Linked DNA regions of Lepisosteus oculatus. The protein of the gene in region 2 interacts with the protein of the main gene of each other region in a biochemical or structural test. Links are inferred from orthologs where the notes say so. Each region holds a gene or a part of one and is shown on either strand. Other genes may lie near its edges.

Region 1 (8,068 bases), on a different chromosome or scaffold from region 2:
TTTCTTTTCCCTTTTTGTTTTTTTGCGGAATTCGCTAGCCTCACACCGCCTCTGCCCCCTCAGACGGGGTGTTGGCTTTTACCGGTGTTTGCCACGGCTCCTCACACTCCCACATTGTTACAATAGTGAGGAAAAGTTCCAGGAATGCTTTCTGTGCTAGATCAGAGTGTACAGACACAGTGGTTGGATGGACCTGATCTAAGATAAAAGGATATTAGAGTTCATTGTTACATATTCCACACTGCTGTAAAACAGTTTCCAACAAGGGGGCAGTGGAAAGTATTACACAATCATCAACAAAACAAGAGATGCTGAGATTCGAGGGCATGTTCTTCATCATATAGATTCCCATTTATTGTTTCGAGTGATGATCAGGTGTCAGAGTAATCTGACTAATTCACTGTAAGCATCTGTGTGATCTTCTTCTAAATTACATTCATGTCTGTTAATCTGGAGCCTAAAAGGCTCCACGGCCGAAACGTTTTGTCTCTTTTCGGCATGTTCTTATGTAAAATAAGGTACATCATTTGCTGCTACTAACCAGCCTCATCACAAATATCGCAATGGATTATTTTGAATGAAAATGTAAGAATTGTTTCTGTTTACATATATTAGTCATGTATAAATCACATTTCGCCAGAAAGTGTTTTATATAAAAGTCTTAACATAAAAGTTAAATTGTTGATGGTTTAACAAGTGCTAATTACTAAAATGAACATATAGTAATCTTTATCATGTTCCGTTAAGGATAACTGTCCCATCCAAAACGGAAACCAGACAATGGAAATCTTACCTAGTTATTTTGCATTTTCTTAGACCAGAATCATCAGGACCTGAAGACTTTCTCTTCTTTTTCACTGGCATTATGGAATGAGTGGACGTTCTGCTTATCTGACTCTGTCCTGGTAAAAAAAATAAATACATTTATGAGTGCAAATGTAGGACTGATTTGTGCAAATGATGGAAAGCTTAGCAAATTAAGAGGTACCTATGTATTTTTGGTCACCTTGTCCATTCAAATCTTCTAATAAATTCTATGAGACATGAAATAAGAACATTAGTACATAACCTGTTACCTGGTTACAAATAGTTCTGAAGAGTAAAGTAGTATCAAAATAAAGATCGTCAGTTCTAAAGCCTCAAAAGCATTCTTACCACGATGGTTGACTTTCATTTATAGAACTTTTCCATATATTTTCTCTTAGAGAAAACATACCCCAACACCACATGCACACAGCGAACACGAAAGAGTGACGGATGAAAATAAGTACAATAAGGTCAGACTCCAATAGTGTTTTCCATTAAAGACTGAAGTTCCGGTTCCCTCATTTACAGATACAATGACACCAACAGAATGCCCTGTTGTGGCTATTCAAAAAACCTTTGCTTTCTGTAGCTCTGACAACCAAGATAAAATACATACAAGCCTGTCGAGTGTTTGAGATACGTGCTGAATGTCAGCCAGTACGCACAGTTTCTTCTGAAACACAAAGCAAAAAAGAAAGATGGTTAGAGCAAGCACTGGCTTAGAAGGCCCTAAACATCCGAGTAGAGAAAATAACTAGATTGAGCTAAAATGGACATACGACCAAGACGACATTCGTGCATTTCTGTGGCCCCTTTAAAACCAAAGCATCCCAAATCACTCTACATATATAAGATGACCAACTTGATCTTCCACTGGAGTGAAGCACCCATTTACAGTACCTGGGTGACATGCAGACAGCCAGTATAAACCAGCAGCCCCACTCCAAAGCAGATCAGGAGGACAAGTGAGAAACTGCCTCACCAGTTAATTAGTAATTTTAGGGAGCCCAAGACTGTGCAAGACAAAAGCAGAATTTAGACACTACACTGGGTTAACAACCCTACGCTTGTAACAGTTTTTCTTTGCCGACTGTGAAATTAAGATCATAATGTTAACAGTTCAACCTTTTTAAAAAAATCAGATTTTCCCTTTCGTTGAAGCTCTCCATAAAGATGCTTTAGTCTCAAGAACAAAATAATCATTCAATCTCTTTGAACCCCCAAACCACATCAATCTACACGTCAAGACGTTTCCGCACCCCTCCCCCCCAAAGAAATCAGACTATTGTACAAGTGAGTAATTCCTTGTAATAGTAATTATATTTAAATAGTCATGGAAGATTAAAGTGAACAGGTCAGGACCACGACACTACGTCGTCGTGTTTAAAGTTTGCGCAACGAACAGGGAAATGTAATGTATATTTTAAGTCTAACTCATATGGCAAAGATTCTTACACTAAATGAAAGAACATACGACATGGACAACTGTGTTGTAAAAATATTACTCTTTTTTCCCCAAGACACCCAAGTCTGGGACACTGGCGATATCGTAGATCTTGCTGCACGACGAAACGTTATGCATTTGAACCAAAACTAACATTTTCATGTAAAGACCCATATTAACTTCCCACGCATAAGCAGTAAAATAAGACAAGTTGGCAAGGCAGATGTACGCAATAACATTTCTATTAAGAAAGGTATAGTCTTTTCTCGAATATTTATTTGAGCCTGAAAACTAACTGCGTCACCACTTCATGGTGAGAAACGTATTGCTGCAAAATCCAACAACTTAACCGAGCTACCTATAGGTCCAAATACATTTGCACATTTTGGCGTGAAGAAAACGATCGGGCATTTCGTCTTGCCCGTGCTTCACAATTTATCAGAGAAGACCCAGTCAGAAAAATAATATCCACCAGTCGTTGCAGTCTGTCGAGGTATTTCACGGTAATTCGTTACTGCGTTTATACGGGCTGACGTACCATAATCAACAAGACATTCATTTTCAAGCAACAAAAATATACAGGCCTGCACTGTAGCGAAACAAAATCGGATAACCTATCCTTTTTTAGCCAAACAACGAAATCATAACTGAAAATATCCCACCGCAAAAGAAGGACTGTAATTAGTTTTGTTTCTTCACCGTCGTGCTGTACAGTACTTGTATCTTTAACCGTTAAACCGATCCCCGCAAGGTCTTAATCGGCAGTTCATAGTTTTTCTTACAAGGTTGTAACGTTCTCAGTAAGATCTGTCCCAGCATTTTCCAGGCTATATTTAGTCTAGACTTAGCTACCACTAGCAGCAGAAGAAAAAAGGACTGGACTTATTGAGCAAATACCGTCGTTAGTTTCCGTACAATCCGACAAGTTTTGCACTCACTGTTGAGCTAAGTAAAAACCTGAGACATTTTATTGTACAAACCAGTTAATTCCGACACTTTGTTTTCTTTTTGCCCGCACAGCAACCGAACTCTCCATCCACCAGCACAGAAATGAGTAACACTTTCTCACACCGGCACTGCAAACTCCTTCCTTCCGGGGCAACAGCAACCCTCTGAGGTCACAGCATTTTGCACATTTAAAGGGGGAGGTCAGTTAATTTGTAACATATACAAACACAGGTAATACAACCAAATCAAGTATTTAAAATCTGTTTGCTTTTATATAGATGGGGAAATGTAAAAAAAATTAAATCTTTATTTTGTGGCAGAATTCATTAGTTCGCTTTATGTGATAGATGCATTTTGCCCCCCTCGGCATTCTTGAAACTAGTTGGTCCCGTTTATGCAAGTGCACTGGTTTGTGGAAATGTGAAAAAAAAATACTGCATAAAATAAAAAAAAATAGATTAACAGGCATTTATAAAATGCAAAGTGTGTTACAAGCTATAATCTTGCAGCTCCCCTCAAAACTATATAAATGCGTGAGATTAATTATAAGTGAATTTACAGCACTAAGTACCATTAGATCTTAATCCGGTGTATAGGCTAAAAATGTTCCCCATACTTTCGTGTTTTCAACAGGAATAAAATCTTTGGTATTCATATCATTATAGTGACAGTTTTAATCATCAGAATAAGATCTAATGTTGGTTATAAAGAAGAAGTAGAAGACAAGGTACATGAAGAGTAACAAAATCTTTAAAATAAAGTCAGGTGTTATATAAACAATTGATAGGTGCACAATTTCAGTGCCATAAATTAGTTGCGTTAGTGTTTATATGCACATAAATAATTTGCATTAGGCTGGAGGTTAATTCTGCTGTGAATAGAACCATATTTCACAGTTATTTTAGAGGTCTCATCCATAAATGAATGTAAACAAGTAAAATATTGGGTGAGTCTAACCTAATCATATTTTCCCGTCATGAAAAAAAATGTATCAAATGCTTCTATAGAAATGACTCTTTAGAATGTAAAAAAAAAACTGAAGCACTATTACTACATCTTTTTACAAAAACAGAAAAGTCAAAACTGGAGAAAAGCTTATGTTAGGAGAATTATAGGAGTGTGCCTTCCTTCTAATCTTATATAGGGAAGATTGAGATATACTGTAAGAGATGTAAGAGGATCTAGAAAGATACAAATTCACCAAAATAATTGCAGCAAGCAATTCAACAGCCTCTTTACCGTTTATTTTGCAAGAAAATAAATTATACAACTTAAAAAATAAATTCAGAAATAATGCATTACATCAAAATAGTTCAGCCAGACAGCCATACATAAACGATTATCATTCAAAAAATTGTACAGCATTTTAACCTTATGTAGTGGCACACATTCAACTGGTATATGTAACATAAAACCTAGGAATTCAAGTTTGCTTTGCATTCCAGGCTACAAATAGTGTATATACTACAGAACAAACAAAATCATACTCTATAAATGGATCACAGGTTAATTGTAACTTTTACAGACAAAATTCACCCATTACATAAAAAATGTAAAATGTTTGTAATTATCATACTTGTGAGGATAATAAAAACAGACACTACAATTTTAATTTAAGGAATTTGTACCTAAGAACTGTCAATTCATCTATTAACACTTATATAGTCCATCAAGTTTCTCCTATCAAGTCTAACCTCAAAGTGAAGTTAAACTAAGAAAAAATGCTTTCAGGAAAAAAAAAATCATTTTCCACTTTCACATTTTCACAGAGATAAAAAGCAATTATAACATTCAGATTTTTAGCACATTTGTATATTTCATGTTATTTAAAGATTATTAAAAAAAACTGAATTTAGATCAAAATCTCATCTCAAAGTAAGAGTAAAGGCCAAGGATTTTCATAAATGTTTACATTTTATTCATAAAAAAAATCACTGTCAAATCATTGTAGTGAAGGTAGAATGAACCGCTATCATCCAGTGGAATAACTGGGGAAAAAAAAACCTGTTTGGAGTATCCCCTCAGGAGCAATAAATCTTGCATGGGATAGAGTTTAATGTCAACATTAAAACTAAAAAGTGGAAGACATCACACTACATTAGGAATATCAATTCAAAAGATTTCACCAAAAGTGTAGCAGGCAGTTCTGATCTCTTTAGTTAGTGTAAACTACAATGCCACACTGAATATTTATCAGAACCTCAAACAAGACATACAAGGGCAGAGTGCTTGTATCGGGCTTTTAAAGATTCATGTATCCTTTTAGTAAGTTCAAGAAACCCCACAGCAGCAAAACTCAGAACTACACAGGTATAAATCATGTACAGGAAAATGTTCTGAAACAAAATGTTCAGATGTATTTAAAAGAGGATAATTGAAACCCAGACATCCTTATTACCATGCTGGTGCATGTATAGTAGTTGTAAAACTATTCAACAATCCAAATGCTTTTATTTTCACTAAACCCACAGCCGTCAAAGAAACCGAGGAATCTTTTTTTATTAAGATAATGGGGAATACATTATTTGACAAATAAGGCTACTGCATATAAATCAAATGGTGATATGAAAGACATTCATACACCTATAATTTTACACTTCCATATTTTTCAATACCCATCTCTTGTTCAAAAATATTTTAAAAGCTCTAGGTATCGATAAAAATATATGATACAGTCCAGACATTCCCTGGATCAAAAGCTAGGATTTGTGATCGTTCTTTTGCAGGATTAAGTACAGTAATTCAGGTATTTCTCAGAAAATGTGATTTAAGAATACTATAAACTGCACACTGTTAAGATATGTTCTGTGTGAAACAAACTGCAAACTGAATAATGTTATAATAGAACAGAATGGTCTTATGGCATTATACCTTGCATAGATACCAATAGAAAACCAATCTGTTTTGTCACAGAATGAGGACAGTGTTATACGTTTTGATATAACTAGAGTTAATTAATAGCAAAAATATTCTAAAACTATTGCTATTGTGCCCCCCTTTTATGCCTGTATTTCTAGAAATATAAAAGGGTGAACTGTGCATCCATAAGTAGTTTTTACAGGCAGTCAAGAACTCCCTCCTTAATGGTTCATCAATCACGAACACAAGCAAAACACAATTCTAGGACAATAATGTAACACTATGTTTCAGGCAATGCGCAATACAACACTTTTCTTTACAGTAGACCACTAGTGAAATTTAAAACAGGAAAAAAAACTGACAGCAAAACAGCATGCTTTAGTGTTAAATATAAATTGAAGAGATTCACCCCTTTAAGTTTTTGCTCGAATTAAATATGCTTTTGTTACAATTTTTTGTTCCTCTATACTTTATGCATGTACAGTATATCTTATACTGGAAAACAAGGTGCAGAGAACGTGTTGAGAGAAATCCTGGAACAAAAACGTCTTTGAACAGCTCCCCACTGTGAAAATGAACAAAACCATTCATGTACGTAAAAGGTAATGAAATTCCCTAGCTACTACTTAAATATTATGGACATCGTTATAAATGGAGCAATGACAATATCCATAGAGAACAGATCCACCCTGCCACAAAAGCTGTCACAATTTCAGATGTTAGAAACCAATGGAAGTAAAAAGGGATCAAGCGTAAAAAAATACATTGTATCGTTATTGATCTTCAGAAATAGTTTAATTTAATTGTCTAAAAGCCCAATACATTGAATGCAGAGTAAAATATATACATATATAACAAAAAAAAAACTCTAAGCACCATATTAATGGCTAATGTGAACACAAAAAATAAAAGTAACAAACACAAAATATAGAAGAATTTGTATTATCATACTAAACAATCACCACTCTTCCTTAATTCATAGTCGATTCTTATATGAGGCAGACAGACGTTTTTGTCTAGGCTGAAGAAAACATCACTGGTTACTAGGAACATTTGACAAAACCAGCTGAAAAGCCAGAATGAGAGGTGACTGATGCTCACTACCCTGCCATTCTGCTGACAACAGTCTGCTAGCAACACACAGCCACCAATCCTCGACATTACCTCCTTTCAACAGGAACTCTTTACAAGAGAGAAAACGGATTGGCTGTATTCTCTGGATGCAAAATCAAACGGAATACCTAGGAAATCGTCTGCTCTACCAGGAACACCCGTTATCTTAACGAAAACCAGATTCTGAAGGAAAACAAACTTTTAACCAAATTGTTAATTGGGTTCTAAAGTAAAAGAAGCATTCAAGGGGGCTTTTTGACAAATTGGTAGTGACAAAACCAGTGCAAACCTGAAAGTCTTTGTGAGCACTTACAAACCCCACATACTGCAGATGTTCAGAGGTTGCAAGTACCCGAGTTTCATGGACAGGCTGCGATAATTATTAAAATAAGATGGTATCGCGTGTCAAGACAAACAGGGATGTGACTTCATTTTTTAAGAACATAGGATTTCTAATCTAACGGCTGTAAAGTCTAAAAATGATCTGGAGAACATAGTGTGCAGCATGACAAGGTCTACACAAGAGTAAGCAATCCTGTACACATTGTTGTCCATCGAGTTGTAGGATTACCTCAAAAAACACTTTTATGCCACTCATGTAAAAACATTGTACGGCTTCATTTACTGTGACAATACCTGTACATTCTGAAGTCTAACCCTTGATGGTTTACTGCAAGCAAATACCATGCTTCAGAGATCAAGGTTACAGATCTTTTCTACAGGTTATTTTAAAGTACAATTATAAAACTGAAAGAAAATATTAAAATGAGCAGTGAAACCTTGATTTTTCTTTGATTTAAAAGAAGTCAAGTCACACGTTTTAGTCATCCGTATTTCAAACCTTTTCTGTGGGCTTTATCAGCAGATTATGCACCCCAAAATAATTTTCCATGAATG
Region 2 (8,043 bases):
ATAACGAACAATAAGTTTTGGCAACTAACGATGATGGTGACACTTTCATCGCTTCTTGAACTGCTTAAGACTACCTGTAAATTGCAAGTGTTATAGTAACGACGTGCTCCTGAATTCTGAATTCACATTGATCATTTGCAATTCCTTGGTCTGAAACAGGACTCCCATCGTTAAGAGGTTCTTAGACAAAATATAGACTCATGGTCTATCACTGTCATGAGAGCTGACTGTACACGAATCAACGTACTGTACAACCAGTCTCTTAGAAATCTTTCCAAAGTCATTAAATCAAGCTGTGGGTATTGCAAAGCTCAAACGCAACAGACCTCGGAGGAAGGGTCTCTCCTGTCTTTCTTCCATCTGCCCAAATTCTGCAAAACTGCTCTCTACAGTCATATCGTAGATACGGACGTCCATCTGCAGTGTTAATCATAGATTTACTATTGAATAATAACTCGGTTTCTTTTTTTAGTAATTCTTTAATGGGCCATGTTTCCTTCCCATTTTTGCAGCAGGTGTGTAAGAAAGCAAAATGAAGGCCTGGAAGAGATAAAAACTTTAGCACTCCAGTTGCGGTTGTTTGTAGGCGCGGGGTGGGGACAGGGGGTGTTTGTTCAATTGGCTTAGAATGACGTGCTTGAATCTGATCGAGGCTTTGCACCCTGTGGTCGGTTTCACGCTGCATTTGATCTTAGGGATTCCTATACACGGCAGCTACATCACAGGATCCAGTGCTGCCTCGTTGACGGAGGCCGTGTATGGATGATGAGTACCTGGATTATCCAGTTCCACTCCTGGAGAAGCAAAGCTCTTGGTTCTTGAGATAATTCTCTGTAATATGCTTCCCACCTCCGATATTACACAGACAGGCAAGAGCTGTCAGATCTGTAAAGGTTTGATGTATCTCAGAAAATACAAAAAATTAAAGACTGTAAATTGTCTACTACTACTGTTACTGACTACCACTAACACTACAAGTATTTGCATAAACAATCGACTGGTAAACATCTCCCTCTGGCGTCGCAAAACTTTATTGCATCTCCTAACCTGGAAGAGACGATCTTGGCAATTCCGCTTCAGAATTCCACAGACAAAAAAAAAAAGTATTCGTCCCTTACGTTTTATAAACAATCATTTCTAGACCAAATTCGAAAATACAACAAAATAATTTCAAAAGTGTGGGTGACCTGCAGAGGTTATTCTGCACCAGGCACCAGAAGCACAACCACACACCTGATGAAGTAGAAAAAATAAGAAGCTGTATCATCAATTGAATGAAGGGGGAAGTCCGACTGTGGAATTTGATCGTATACTGCAGAGTTATCACCTATACATTTGCGGTCGGTAGCATGGTGTGTTAAATGTGTTATCGGGACAGTGGTTAAACTGTATCTCAGATGAATGATGTCAACTTCTATAGCACAGGTTTCCTAGTACAGTACGTGTACCACATTAGTTTGGAAAGATGTTTAGTCCAGAGGAAAGAGTGCCACCTACTGGTCCACAACTGCCACTTACAGCAACAACCGTTTGCAAGTCATTGCTCTTTCTTTAATATCGGAATGATCTGTTTGCATTTGACCATTTTCTGATCAATGCACAAATGCATCTATACATCTAGAGGATTACATATTACTTTGTGTATTGATATGCAAATTAAATAAAAGGTTGTGGAAAAAAGCTGAACACCATGGAGCCTGATGTTTTAGTATAGAGCTAAATGTATAAGAATTGCCACAGATACACCTTCTTTCCCCAAAAATTGGTTTGTATTAATACATTTTTAAAAATGCTGTTGTTCTGTATACTTCTGGGGAGCAGTTGAATGACTTAACTGGAGCCGAAAGCAATTTAAAACGAGACATCTGCTAAGGAATTCTAATTACAGGAGATATTCAAATTGACCTTCATGCCGTATCATTGAACATGTCGATTCACTTGCCTAAACCTCATCCAGCTGCGAGGAAGAAAAGTCCTCCAGGTTTCCCATGAGGAAATATCAAGGAGTGTAAGCTGATCCTGAAGGTCATTTGAACAGGGCCTTGGCAAAAACTTAACTGTCCTTTAAATAAGTTTTACAACCTAGTTTGTACATGTGTGAAACACTGTACATTGTCGACTAGAACATACAGCCCTTCATTTAGAAGTTAATCAAGGCATGAGCTCAACATTATTCATGTTTTCTTTGGTAAAAAAAACTTAATCTCAACTTTCCAGTATTTGGACTTGCCATTGTTTGAAGTGGAACACTGAATTTTCAGCAATGCATTCTGTTTTTAAATTGAGGGAAAAAAGACAGTTCTGTTGACCAGATGGATAATGCATACAAGTGGAACAAGACTATTTGCTCTGAAGCTAATTCTAAAGGACAGCTGTGCACCTACGACTGCCACACATGATTGAAAATTGGACACTGGTTTGAGCAGGCACTTAGTCATGCTTAAAATGAAATGAGGAATTATTGACAGAACCTTTATACTACAAAACAAATCCTTAAACAAAACCTGTAAAAGCACAGATTGGTTTAATTCTGAAACTGATAGTGTTGGTGTCACTTGTGGTCATAATGAATTATTCAATTAGCTATAAATTAACAATCACAGTAATGATAGTAGTAATATTCATCTTCTTTACACTTCTTTTTGTGGGTAATAATCATCATCTTTATTTTACATAGTTCCTTGAAGAACAAGCATTTTTCAAAGTGCTGCACAGCTGTACAAAAATAACACACGTGACAGATTAAATTGGCCAAATAAAATCAAGATTAAAATAAAACGGTGCACTCTAAGAAGAAAATATAAAGAAAAAAACCTTTCAAGGATTCTTTGGAATATCCACAGTCATAGACTCTGTGAGAATGAATGCCAGAGTTGTGATGCTCCATGAAAGAACGCGTTATCATCCTCTGTGTGACACCTGTTCATAGGTAGAAGAAGATGACCTTATTTTATAGATTTCAGATGAAATGTTGAACTACACTCATGCAAAACATTCTAAAGTAACCTGGATCTAGGCCATTCAGTTCCTTATCTGTAAGCAGGAGAACTTTAAAGGCTTCTCTTAAAAGGGTTAAATGTTGAAGCAGAGCAGTTTTAGTTAGAGAACACACCACAGAAATCTCAACATACTGATGTTTATTTAGTACCTTAGCAGATATAACAAGTTTTACAACAATCTAATATGTATTAAATATCTATTAAATAAAGGTAATTATCAATTTTTCAAAATCAGATGGAGTAAGGATCTTAACTGGGCAATGTTGTATAGATTACAATAAGATTCATTTTGTGTTGTCAAATGTCAATACAAGATCATAAATTAACACCAAGGTTTCTTTAGTCAAAGGTTTAAATTCTGCACCTTTAAGAACAACACTGAAATCACCAATTCTGCACAGCTGTTGTCAGTAGCCAAAAGGCAAGTTTAGCTTTCACAGTTTCTGTTGCATCCATGTCAGCTGTGTCTTATTAATTATAGCATGTTACTCTCGGTGTCATGAACATAACAGTGAAATCAACACCACGGTGAGGAACAGTCTAACCATAAATGTATACACTAAATAGTAATTGTCCTAGCAGAGAACTACATGGACCTCCTAGAATATCTGTGATAACATTATATTTGAAATAGCCAATAGCCATATGAATTTTAAACAAATAGCAGCCGAAGCAATGAATCCCTAATCCCTACAAACTTTTCCATATAATAATTATAATTAGTTAACAATTGCTTACACTTATATAGCACTTTTGTGGACACTCCACTCAAAGAGCTTTACAGGTAATGGGGACTCCCCTCCACCACCACCAATGTGCAGCATCCACCTTGATGATGCGACGGCAGCCATAGTGCGCCAGAATGCTCACCACACACCAGTTATCAGTGGGGAGGAGAGCAGAGTAATGAAGCCAATTCATAGAGGGGGATTATTAGGAGGCCATGATTGGTAAGGGCCAATGGGAATTTTTGGGCCATATGCTCTTGTAGAGTGCCATAGTGTAACTGACAGACAAAACTGCACTTGGGACCAGAATAAAAAAGAAAATTAAGTGACCTAGAGACTGAAACCATCAAGTCAATACCCACCATAACAAGTCTCTCTCCAAACTCAGACTCAGACTCAGAGAAGCTTCAAACAGATCATAACACAGGCATCTGAGCTATTGATTGACCAATTCAAGAATTTTGGCAAGAGATGGCATATAGGTAACAGGACTGCAGTTGTGTGTAATATTTTTAATGTCAAGGCGTTGACTTCATCCAGGTGGATGCTGCACATTGGTGGTGATGGAGGGGAGTCCCCTTTACCTGTAAAGCGCTTTGAGTGGAGTGTCCAGAAAAGTGCAATATAAGTGTAAGCAATTATTATTATTATTATTATTATTATTATTATTATTATTCATGTACAACTACATGAATAGGAACGGAATCTGAATGTACGTCGCATTTCTGGCCCCAAGAAGTTTGTTGACAAAACATTGGTAACAAACATGTTAAGTGCCACCGTATGAGAGTGAGTACAAAAGTGTGCCCGTTATTATATTCTCCTGCCTTTTCTTTGCGGATCATCATATTCTGAAACACTCAACCGTGACATCAGGTTCCCCCCCAACTTTTATTTTCTTAACTAGCTTCCCTTTACTGTGCGTGCGCCTCTAAGATCGCGTTCCTCGCCTCACGGTTCACCTTTCCTACGGCAGACACCCGGAGGCGTGAAACTCACGTTAAAGGTTAATATGCTGCATCGACGCAGCGCATGGCTTTAATGGTGTGTTTTTGTCTCCCGCAGATTTTTTTCCCCTCTACCTTTATCTCGCGCGAGTTTCGGTGTGGGGTAGCCCTGCGCACTGAGAGCTGTTTGTCCGCCATCACTGTGCAGAAAGAGCCGAGCACTTGGAGTGGCGGCGGCGGCGGAGTGACAATACCAGCCCAGAAAGAGGGACGTAGACACGCCGGAGAGGTCGAGGGGGCTAAACGGCATTCCCGTCGGCACATTTTCCCGCAGCTGCCCACGTAGTCTTTAATGTAAATAAAGAAACAGACGCGATCCAAACATGTCCAATCTAAGCAAAGGCGGCACCAAGAAGGACACCAAGATGAGGATACGAGCCTTTCCTGTGAGTAGTAGCCGGGGACGGGGCACCTAAGCGGGCGGGCGAGGAGACTCGAGCGCCGGGGATTCGGTCAGGGAATGGCGAAAATCAGGCCTCCCAGTTAGTAAACAAAGGCTTTGAAAATACGCGAGCTACTGAAACCTTGCTCGTGTACACGATCTTGAAATGCCTTTTTCCCCCTCTTAAGTAAAAAGTAATGTCTGGGAACAGAGGAGTGAATTTACAGTCCGACGTTAAATCTTTGTTGTTAGTGAGGCCTTCATTTTTGACACATTAATAGGTCAGTGAGCAAATCGGCAGGGGGGAAATGGTAGCTAACATTTCAGTAGTTCAGGAAGTTTTATTTTCATTATAGATCGTGATGGCATATAGCTATTTCATAGCCACAGCATTAAGCCTTACGACAACAAAAATGAGGTTGTTTCTCTTTCTGATTTCAGGTAAGTTAGCAGAACTAATTGCATGTTTAGCAAGGTGAACTTCACACCCGGAACGTAACAAAAAGTACTAAATCATCCGCTCTGTGAAGTCAGTACAGTTGCCAAAACAAGAACATGTTCCGCGACATGGTTGTCGCAGTGAGTAAATTAGTTTCACAGCAGTGTGTAGGCCTGACTGTCCGATAAAATTGTTTAATACTGAGGTTTGAATGCATAAGCGTTGTCAAACGTCGTAATGACTCGCATTGTTAAAAGAACAACTAAAATAAGGATATTTCATGGCGTATACGTCGAATTAAAAGAAATGAACGATAATCTCATAAAAATCTAGGTGGTCAGGAGAGTCATGTTTCATAAAATGAGTCACTACTAATGGTGTTAGTAAAGCAATAGTAAGGTGAAAAGATGCCTTGATGTCATGTATGTAAATCAAGGTGTGAAATGATGTCGTTAGTTTTGGGAAGCTCGATCGTTTTGTGGACTCTAGAAAAACACTGGAAATCTGTCATCAGATATTGTCTCTAACATGTCTTCCTTCAGGAGACCCTCTTTTCGTTGGGTTAGGGACATGTAGTTATTTGATGATCCTAGCATGCCAAAGTTGTCTTTATACCTCAGGAAAGCCCATATGATAAGCAAGTGTAAGGACTGGCCTGTAACTGCAGTTCATAAGTCATGTCCTGATTCGTGTGCAGCCCTTGTAAGTTGTTTTCCTTGCTAATCAGTGATTTGCTGAATTGCTCATTGCCTGCTCCTTTAAAAAAAATACTTCAGTGGCAAATTGTTTTAAAACAGATACTAGGTGGTCCTGCATTTCACTTTTTGCAGAAACATCTTGCTGTTTCTGTCTATAATTAACTGTTTTAATCTCATACTTTTGACCTCTCTTTTGTAGATCAAGGCTGAAAATTATGTAAAAATTATTAGTCTTAACATCTTAAGGTGCTTATTAAAAAATACAACATATCAGGGGGTTGAAGCTATGTTGATACATTATACCTGACTGTAATTGCTTGTAACTGCTTAAGATGTACTGAAAACTAAATGTCAAAGCAGTTGTCCAGCAGTGAGTTGGCTTCACGCAGAATTGCCTTGGAAGTGGAAGGATTAGTCCTCCGATATCTGCTGTGTAGATATTTACCAGTGGGTATCACAGGTTGCATTTTAAGTGATCTTGGCAGGGGGTATCCTAGTCCATTCCTGGATGAGAAAAACCTAATAGGAGGTATCACAGTCTTGCCAGTTCCCATCCCAAGGGTGTCTGATCTGTGCTGTTTCAGTCAACACAGTTATTTAGGGCAACACATCATCTTAGTCGAAATGTCAGTGAATCAGGCCTGCTCACATCATCTGACACTTGAAATGTTTTCAAGTGGTAGTAAAATGCAACACCCACTCCATTATTCTCTTTCCATACACCTAGTCTTGGTGAGCTACGTTTATGCTGACCAGTGTAAGGATGGTCCATAGTTTCTTCGTAACACCGGTACCATAATGTCCTATGGTTGTAGTTGCCATATGTTCCTCTTGTACTCTCTTATGCTGTAGTGTAAAATGAGTGCTGTACTCCTACAGAGTATTGGGAACACACATGCAGAATGAAATGATTTTCAGTCATTTATCATAGAATTATTGCCACAGAATAATTTTTCTAGGCTTTTAATTGAATATGGTTCTAATAGATGACTAGATGACAGTTCATACAGCATAATTCCAGTGTTAACCTGTCAAGGGAACCGATGACTGCAGTGTCTGATTTCATATTGATCAAAGCCTGTGATAAATTATCAATACATAATACCTCTGTGTTCTAATTGTATTTTAAAGGAAGCATTTTAAAATCAAGATGTGACATATAAATTACCGATTGGTGTTCTGTCATTTAAACTAGGTTTTCCCAAACCCAGTTTTGGAGGTCTGCAGTCCTGCAGGTGTTCATTCCTGCGCAACCGTTAATGGTCAAGTTTAACTAGCTTTAGGCTTGATTTGTGCAGTTCAACAAAATGTCCCTGCTCTACAGGGGCTGCTTATTTAAAGAGGTCTGTAAAACCTGTAGAAATATGACTCTCCAGGCCTGTTTGTTTGAAACCTCTGGTTTATACCATTTAGAATGTTTTGAAAAGAATTCAGTGAAGCTGAAATTGAAAGAGAAAAGGATTGGAAGTGAATTAAAGGGAGAGATTGTTTACATCTTTACATGTCACTATACCATTGCCAAATCATTTATAATCCTTATATAATTTAGTTCATTTGCAACAAAAAATCTGAGTACTCTGCAGCCCTCAATATTACAGTTCTTTTAGTTGGACATATTACTCGGTTAAACAGTGATTTATAGCGTTCCCAACCTTTATGTGAAGACAGACTATAAGATAAACTGAACAGATGGTTTCCAGCACCTGGGGTAGAGAATTTAGTCAAATCAAAATAAAGCAGAGTGAAAGTACAGTAAAGTTGAGCAATAAATGTTCAAACAAATATATTAC

What was found. The genes of interacting proteins can lie anywhere in the genome.
Region 1: the proteins of cul3b (region 2) and dcun1d5 form a complex in vitro, tested with the Homo sapiens proteins (2 studies listed by BioGRID, with this or other methods). The link is inferred for Lepisosteus oculatus from reciprocal best matches to the Homo sapiens genes CUL3 and DCUN1D5.

The regions. Positions count from the first base shown.
Region 1 is NC_090700.1:10,125,564-10,133,631, forward strand, and holds the start of dcun1d5 (DCN1-like protein 5), read right to left. Parts: upstream 3,341-8,068; 5' UTR 3,232-3,340; intron 1,481-3,231; 5' UTR 1,424-1,480; intron 1,035-1,423; 5' UTR 989-1,034; intron 903-988; 5' UTR 865-902; coding exon 794-864; intron 1-793. UniProt on the Homo sapiens protein: Contributes to the neddylation of all cullins by transferring NEDD8 from N-terminally acetylated NEDD8-conjugating E2s enzyme to different cullin C-terminal domain-RBX complexes which is necessary for the activation of cullin-RING E3 ubiquitin ligases (CRLs).
Region 2 is NC_090708.1:6,825,830-6,833,872, forward strand, and holds the start of cul3b (cullin-3b), read left to right. Parts: upstream 1-4,677; 5' UTR 4,678-5,057; coding exon 5,058-5,120; intron 5,121-8,043. UniProt on the Homo sapiens protein: Core component of multiple cullin-RING-based BCR (BTB-CUL3-RBX1) E3 ubiquitin-protein ligase complexes which mediate the ubiquitination and subsequent proteasomal degradation of target proteins.